2 linked regions of the Macaca mulatta genome follow. The protein of the gene in region 1 binds, or shares a complex with, the protein of each later gene. Links are inferred from orthologs where the notes say so. Each region holds a gene or a part of one and is shown on either strand. Other genes may lie near its edges. The genes, in order: RASIP1 and RAP1B.

The links.
Region 2: the proteins of RASIP1 (region 1) and RAP1B are in contact, whole or in part, in a crystal structure (PDB 5KHO), measured with the Homo sapiens proteins. The link is inferred for Macaca mulatta from reciprocal best matches to the Homo sapiens genes RASIP1 and RAP1B. Residues at the interface, in NP_060275.2 of Homo sapiens: Val147, Lys149, Ala156, Ser157, Gly158, Ala159, Asn160, Tyr161, Lys162, Ser163, Val164, Leu165, Glu181, Arg182; in NP_001010942.1 of Homo sapiens: Val24, Gln25, Asp33, Pro34, Thr35, Ile36, Glu37, Asp38, Ser39, Tyr40, Arg41, Glu54, Leu56, Phe64.

Annotation. Positions count from the first base shown.
Region 1 is NC_133424.1:61,201,020-61,205,529, reverse strand, and holds the start of RASIP1 (ras-interacting protein 1), read left to right. Parts: upstream 1-1,461; 5' UTR 1,462-1,549; coding exon 1,550-1,848; intron 1,849-2,081; coding exon 2,082-2,222; intron 2,223-2,743; coding exon 2,744-3,429; intron 3,430-4,510. Other genes in the region: IZUMO1 (izumo sperm-egg fusion protein 1 precursor), read left to right, coding at 66-166, 426-579, 891-1,068, 1,341-1,461. UniProt on the Homo sapiens protein: Required for the proper formation of vascular structures that develop via both vasculogenesis and angiogenesis.
Region 2 is NC_133416.1:75,769,833-75,773,639, forward strand, and holds part of RAP1B (ras-related protein Rap-1b), read left to right. Parts: intron 1-1,460; coding exon 1,461-1,529; intron 1,530-3,073; coding exon 3,074-3,130; intron 3,131-3,807. UniProt on the Homo sapiens protein: GTP-binding protein that possesses intrinsic GTPase activity. Contributes to the polarizing activity of KRIT1 and CDH5 in the establishment and maintenance of correct endothelial cell polarity and vascular lumen.

The sequences.
Region 1 (4,510 bases):
AAAAAAAAAAAACCCAAACAAACAGAACCGTGAAAGAGTGTCCCATGGTCTTCCTCCACCCCCAGAGCGCAATGTGGAGGTTCCTCAAATGGAAGATATGATCCTGGACTGTGAGTTAAACTGGCATCAGGCTTCTGAAGGCCTCACTGATTACAGCTTTTACAGGGTGAGGGCCTCAACTTCTGTAATCCTTGAACTCCCTAGACTACAATACTTGTGTACTGGATCTGTGGGCCTGCACCCACGATTCTCATGACCCAGGCGGGTGGTCTATTAGGTGTGGTCTCTACTGGGGATCCCGTGCCCCAACCAGTGACACCCTGGACACCCACCTCCCACACTGAGGCCCTGTGATCTTCTCAACCCGGTACTCCCCCAACCCCTGAATTCCTCAGGCCTCAGTGACCCCTTGAGCTTGGGTCTAGGTTTGGGGGAACAATACGGAGACTTTGGTGTCCAAGGGGAAAGAGCCCACCCTGACCAAGTCCATGGTGGGTCCAGAGGATGCAGGCAGCTACCGCTGCGAGCTGGGCTCTGTGAATTCCAGCCCAGCCACGGTCATCAATTTTCGCGTCACAGGTCAGTGCTGTGGGGTTGAGAGAAGTGTAGGATTCAGGGCCCAGGAAAGCTGGGGGTCCGCGTCGGGGGCGTGGCCTCGGCGATGGGGGCGTGGCTTCCTGTTGGGTGTGGTTTCGGGGCAAGGGGTGTGGCTTCCCGCCGGGGGCGTGGCCTCTGACCCCGAGGACAGGCGTTCCCTTGGGTGTGTTCAGGCTTTACACTGTTGAAGGCGTGATTATCTCTGGGATGGCAGGCTACCGGGACGGGCTTGCCTTTGCCAGGGCAGGAACTCCACGCCCTGCCAGGACTGCTCTTTACACTTTCTCTAACAGTGTTGCCCAAAAGGGTCGAGGAGGAAAAACCGTCCCCAAATATCGTAACCCCGGGGGAGGCGACCACGGAGTCGTCCAATACCCTCCAGCCTCTGAAGCCCGAGAAAATGCTGAAAGGCCGCCTTCTGGGGCTGCTGATCTGGGGCTCCCTAGCACTGATAACCGGCATTACCTTTGCGTGAGCAACCCGTTGAAGAAGGCTGGCTAGGCTTGGAGTAACGGGCGGGGCTTCCAGGAACCCAACGCAGAAGCTGGGCTGGGGGCTACTGAGGACTGAGAGCAGGACTTTCCTGGGGATGGAGTGCGGGGGGCTTGCATAGGAGGACTTCGAAGGGCGAGGCTTAGATAATTGCTAGAATAAAGTCACACAGGGGGTGGTTGGGAGGGGTGTCCCCCACACAATTACTACCCAACCCGGTTCCATGATCTGCACCCCACTCCCACCCCTAGGATATTTTGTCGAAGGAAGGTGATCGATTTCATCAAGTCCTCACTGTTTGGCCTTGGCAGTGGAGTGGCCGAGCAACCCCAGGTCCCAAAAGAAAAAGCCACAGATTCGAGGCACCAATAAAGATTTATCTTGTTGTCTAAGCATCTGACTCACTCCCCTGGACGGGGCTGATCCTAGCCTTTGGTTCCCCGAGAGCAGAGGTCTGGGGATGGGCTCCGGCCTGAGGGAAGAAGGGCGGGAAACCAGGACCCTTGGGTCGTGGAGGGGGCCATCTGGCTGCGACGTAATTCCAGAATCAAGGAATGGGGCAGGGCCAATCCTCCCCAGATCTCCTCCCCCAGGCCTGGTCTCCTCACAGGACGCCCCCTCCCCGCTCTTCCTGCCGGGTTTCCTCTTGCCTTTTCCTGTCCCCCACCCAGTGCTGGGAGCCGTGGCAGAGGCAAGAGCAGTGGAACTGACCCAGGCCAGTGGAGCCAGGGCCTCCGGGTGTGCCGGACCCGAAGCAGGGTAAGAGCCAGGGACCCAGCGGCCCAAACCCTCCTCCCTGGGACCCAAGACTCAGTCCCCCAGCCATCTTCCATCCCAGGACCCAGGAATCCAGGGTACCATCCCTCTCCTCCCTCTGGGCTCGCAAGTCTGAGCCCCAGTCCCCTCCTCCCTCTGACTCGGAGTCCAGGTTCCCTCCACCCCATTCCCACAAGAGTGCCTTAGGAGTTGAGGCCTTCCTCGCCTTCCCTTAGGGCCATGCTATCTGGTGAACGGAAGGAGGGCGGAAGCCCCCGCTTCGGGAAGCTTCATCTCCCCGTGGGCCTGTGGATCAATTCCCCCAGGAAGCAGCTGGCGAAGCTGGGGCGGCGCTGGCCCAGCGCAGCCTCTGTCAAGTGAGTGCCATCTCTGCAGGACTCCTGGCCCTGCACACCTGCCTCCCATCTGTCCCTGTTCACGGCCCAGTCCTGCAAAGGGTTGGCTCCGGTCCTCATCCTGAATTGGGCAAGCGAGCTTGTGGGTAGTGCGAGACGGTGGGGCGCAGCGATACCAGGGCGCTGTGGGAGTAAGAGCTAGGCCAGGCAGGAGGTGGAGTGAGGCCAGATCGGCACCGGGATGAGGACAGAAAGAGCAGGGGGATTGATTCACCTTCCTTCCTCCCCTCTCTGCTCACCTCTTGGAATTTCCCTCTGTGGGACTTGCCTTTATTTATTTATTTATTTATTTATTTATTTATTTTCTCTCTCTTTGCCTCGCGTCTCTGTGCCAACCCTCACCCCCGCCCCGTCCATCCACCCTGGATCCCTGTCCTCTCTCTGGGTCTCTGCTCACTTCCCTCCTAATCTGTCCTCCACCCCCGTCTTGGCGTGTTGTTCGGGTCTCTCTCCCGCGACTCTGTTCCCCGGCGGACTCCCAGGTCTTCTTCGTCGGACACGGGGAGCCGTAGCAGCGAGCCGCTACCTCCGCCCCCGCCGCACGTGGAGCTGCGGCGAGTGGGCGCTGTCAAGGCGGCCGGGGGAGCCTCCGGTAGTCGCGCCAAGCGCATCTCCCAGCTCTTCCGGGGCTCGGGGACCGGGACCTCGGGGTCCGGCGGCGCGGGAGGCCCTGGGACCCCGGGGGGTGCGCAGCGCTGGGCCAGCGAGAAGAAGCTGCCGGAGCTGGCGGCGGGCGTGGCCCCCGAGCCCCCGCTGGCCACCCGCGCCTCCGCGTCCCCGGGGGTCCTCAAGATCTTCGGCGCCGGACTGGCATCGGGCGCCAACTACAAGAGCGTGCTGGCCACGGCGCGCTCCACGGCGCGCGAGCTCGTGGCCGAGGCTCTAGAGCGCTACGGCCTGGCCGGCAGCCCCGGTGGCGGCCCGGGCGAGAGCAGCTGCGTGGACGCCTTCGCTCTGTGCGACGCACTGGGCCGGCCCGCGGCGGCGGGCGTGGGAAGCGGCGAGTGGCGGGCGGAGCACCTGCGCGTGCTGGGCGACTCAGAGCGCCCGCTGCTGGTGCAGGAGCTGTGGCGGGCGCGGCCCGGCTGGGCGCGGCGCTTCGAGCTGCGCGGTCGCGAGGAGGCACGGCGCCTGGAGCAGGAGGCCTTTGGGGCTGCAGATGGCGAAGGTGAGCTGCGGGCGGGGCTCTGGGGCGGGCACTCGGGGCCAGAGAGGCGGGGTCCGTGGGGCGGGGCCTGGGCGGGGCTTGTGGGACCCGCGGGCTGGCTGGGGGCGGAGCCCGCGGGAGGGGACTGGACGGTGCGTGTAGGACTCTAGCAGGTGGAAGGCAGAGCTAGAGCAGGGCCGGGGGCGGCCAGATGGGCGGGCCTGAGAGTTGGGTGGGGCTTGTTGATTGAGCAGGAGTTTTACGGGGGCCGAGGCTGGGGCTTAGGCGGGGCGGGGGCTGGTTGCTGGTGGTGGCTTGGAGTGGCCTGAAGTGGTTCCGAATTGGGGTTAGGGCCTTCTGCAGGTATTTCAGACTGCCTTGGAGGAGGTGGGGTGTGTAGCGGGGTCTGCGGAGTAGTAGATCCTGAGGAGAGTTTGTGGAATGGGCAGGAGTCCGCAGGGACCTGAGGGATTCGCCCTGTGTGGTAGGTTAGAGGACACTAACAATTTGCTGACCTTTGAAAGTTTCTTTCTCTACCCAATCCCCACTTTCTGGTAGGGTTTCTGCGAGGTCTGTTAGGTGTACATCCTGCAGCTTAGTGGCTTAAAATGTATTCTTCTTCGATGTGGTTTCTTGGGGCCAATTGGGAGAAAGTGAAATCAATAGCGCAACTGTTTTGATACTGAATATTGACAAGGGTCTTTTTGAATTAAAGAACTAGTCCTGGCCGGGCGTGGTGGCTCACACCTGTAATCCTAGCACTTTGAGAGGCTGAGGCGGGCGGGATCACCTGAGGTCGGGGGTTCGAGACCAGCCCGGCCAACATGGTGAAACCCTGTCTCTTCTAAAAATACAAAACTTAGCCAAGCGTGGTGGCGCATGCCTGTAATCCCAGCTACTCGGGAGGCTGAGACATGAGAATCATTTGAACCCGGGAGGCAGAGGCTGCAGTGAGCCGAGATCGCGCCACTGTACAACAGCCTGGAGGACAGAGCGAGACTTCCTCAAAAAGACAAAAAACGAAAAAAAAAAAAAATGTCCTCCAGAAAAAGAAAAAGGAGTTGGAGAGACCTAGGAGCCGGAGGAGTAAGCCCGAACAATG
Region 2 (3,807 bases), on another chromosome or scaffold:
ATCATATTCTCTCTGGAACATTGACTCCAGAATGACACGAATTATGCTGGAATACAATTTGAGCTAAGCACAGAGATTGAGAGCATACAAATATGTGTCTTTTTGCATTTGCATTTCAGAGGCAGGTAGAATAAGTTTTGGTCTTTTTATTTTTATTTGTTTTCAGACAGGGTCTCACTCTGTTGCCCAGGCTAAGGGGTCAGGTGATCTCAGCCTCCTGAATGCTTGGGACTACAGGCATGTGCCTTCATGCCAGGCTAATTTTTATAAAGTTTTTTGTAGAGATGGTGTCTTGCTGTATTGCTCAGGCTGGTCTTAAACTCCTGGCCTCAAGTAATCCACCTTTGCCTCCCAAAGTGCTGGAATTACAGGCATAAATCACCATGCCTGGCTTGCTTTTTCTTCTTACATATAGTCTTACCCTATACATTTTATGTTAGAAAATATCAAAGCTTATAAAAAGTCTTCTTCAAATATTACGTTTGACTGTCCAGTTTTACATTATTATTTTAATGGCCATGTTTTCTGCATCAAGGAATGGTGTAGCAAGAATAACTCGGTAATGAGGGTTGGGAAAGGGGAAAAACGTAGGGAAAATAATTTGATGAATAGTTCAGAGCTTAGCAAAGCCTCACAAGCAAATAGATTGACCTTCTGCCTCACTCATAAGATAAACCATCTTGGCCACTTAGAAAGGCCACCTAGCTGAGAATTGACATGCTTGGAACAAACGGAGAAGTATATATGATGTGAAATGAACTGCTTTTTCAATTTGTATCCAAAGTGATGGGGAGGTCAGTTGATTGTGCATGTATGTGTGTATACATAACATAAAATTAGTCAATTTCTAATTTAAAATTCAAATTTAAGCTCTTAAGACTGAAACAACACCGGCACGGTGGCTCACACCTATAATCCCAACACTTTCGGAGGCCGAGGCGGGCAGATCACCTGAGGTCAGGAGTTCTAAAGCAGCCTGGCCAATATAGTGAAACCCCATCTCTACTAAAAATACAAAAATTAGCCAGATGTGGTGGTGCATGCCTATAATCCCAGCTACTTGGGAGGCTGATGTGGGAGAATGGCCTGAACCCAGGAGGCGGAGGTTGCAGTGAGCCAAGATTGTGTCACTGCACTCCAGCGTGGAAGACAGAGCAAGACTCTGTCTCAAAGAAAAAAAATAAAAGAATAAAAGACTGAAACAAGAGACATTTAAAATTTTTAAATATATGATCTCTAAATTTAGAATTACCCAATAAGGAGCATAGTGATTATTTATTTAAAAATAGAAAACAGCTTTCTGAGGTAATTTTCTTACCAAATATATACATTCAAATGTAGTATTGGCTGTGGTTTTTTTCACCGATGGTGTAACTCCCTGTGTGAAATCAGTTTACAATTTAAAGATTGAATGTACTCTTTTCTTTAGAAGTATAATGGTTTCTTAATTTTTTTTTCAGACTGTACAGTTTGTTCAAGGAATTTTTGTAGAAAAATATGATCCTACGATAGAAGATTCTTATAGAAAGGTATATATTACTTTGGAAGGCCTTTTGCTTTTGATTTTAATATAAATATTTTAGCTGTATAATTACTGAATGTTTTGTATAAAGTAGGATGGAGGCAGAGTTAATTTATAAAATTAGTGGGAAAAGTTTATAATTACTTTCTGGCATTGCATATTTACCAGTTTAAGAGGATCATAAACCCTCATACTCTCACATATTCACAGAATTTTAAGTTTATCCTGACCCTGAAGTTGTAATTTGACACGCAAACTTTAAAGCATGCCATCCATTTCAAGTAGTAGCCCCATGTTACTTCCTATCCCCTACCTAGCAAGACTGATTACTCTCAAGCTCCCTTCTTTTTAACCTAGAAATTGGTGGACACAAGTCTTCCTAAGCTTTCTACTTACTAACCTCTTGAGAAAGTGCCACCACTCACAATATGGGTTGAATATCCCTTATCCAAAATACCTGGGACCAGAAGTGTTTTCAGATTTCAGATTATTTTCTGATTTTAAAATATTTGTATATACATAATGAAATAGAATGGGACCCATGTCTAAACAATTCATGGTTTCATATACACCTTATACACATAATCTTATGTAATATTTTTAATATTCTTACACATGAAGCAAAGTTTTGGCTGCATTTTGACTGTGACTGGTCACATGAGCTCATGTGTGGAATTTTCCACTTGTAGCATGATGTTCCACACATGGCTCAAAAAGTTTTGGATTTGGAACATTGCAATTTTTGAATTTTTAGATTAGGAATGCTCAGCCTATAGTAAGGTGAATTCCTGTGACCACTAACATTATGTGACAATAAAACAATGTGTAGACATTTTTAACATAGTAGGGAAAGAGGTATTTCCCAGCTTTTATGAAGCAACTAACCTGGCCCTGCTGTTGTACAAATACTGTGTTTCCGTTCCTCCCTCCATGTCCACAGTCTACCAAAAAAACTGGAAACTTTTTTGCACCCCAGCTATGAGACAGTAATACTCTTTTCTTTCTATATCTAATTCTAAATACCTATTTTTTCCTAGGAAATATTAGATGGAAAGGGGTAACAGGGATATATGTGCAAGTTATTTAATAGCTGTGGCTCTGCTTCCTTAATACCAGAAATCTTGTTCCAGTATGGTGAGGGCATATAGTTACCTAGAGAAATGAGGTATATCGAAAGTATCATGGGAGAATTGAGATAGATTACTTACGATATTGTTGGAACTATTGCTGGTTTTGTTTATTTATTTGAGCTATTTTGAAACTATTTTTTCTCTAGAATTAAGTGCTGAGAGATCATACTGAGACTGGATCTTGTAGGTTTCCCTCTGTTGACTTGAGAACACATGGCTTTTGAACCCGATTACAATTTGGGGGTCTTTGAATCTTGATTACTTAGCTATTTTTCCTCCTGCTTTGTTGAAGTATTGCTTGATAGTAGTTTGTAAAGTTGTTATAATCTGTGTATCTTATTTTTGATACATTAGCTTTTTTGTGTATATTAAGGTAGTCTTACATTTAAAAAATGAACATGTATTTTAATTTTTCTACCAGCAAGTTGAAGTAGATGCACAACAGTGTATGCTTGAAATCTTGGATACTGCAGGAACGGTAGGTAAAACTAAATATCAAAGTATATGCACCGTTTGTACAGTATTGACTTCATAAACGCTAGTACTCTATAGACAAATATTAGTTAAGCTTATTTAAAAGTACTGCTTGCAGCTGGTCGTAGTGGCTCACACCTCTGATCCCAGCACTTTGGGATGCCAAGGTTGCCAGATCACTTGAGGTCAGGAGTTCGAGACCAGCCTGGCCAACATGGCTAAACCCCGTCTTTACTAAAAATATAAAAATTAGCTGGGCATGGTAGAACATGCCTGTAATCCCAGCTACTCAGGAGGCTGAGGCAGGAGAATCTCTTGAACCTAGGAGACAGAGGTTGCAGTGAGCTAAGACTGTGGAGACTGTGCCACTACACTCCAGCCTGGGTGACAGAGCAAGACTGTGTCTCAAAAAAAAAATAAAGAGTACTGGTTGCTAAACTTTAAATCTTTTTGTTGTTGTTCTGTTGAATTCTTAGTTTTATATTGGCCGGGCGCAGTAGCTCACGCCTGTAATCCCAGCACTTTGGGAGGCCAAGGTGGGTGGATCACTTAAGGTGAGGAGTTCGAGACCAGCCTGGCCAACACAGTGAAACCCCATATCTACTAAAAATATAAAAAAATTAGCCGAGTGTGGTGGTACACACCTGTAATCCCAGTTACTCGGGAGGCTGAGGCAGGAGA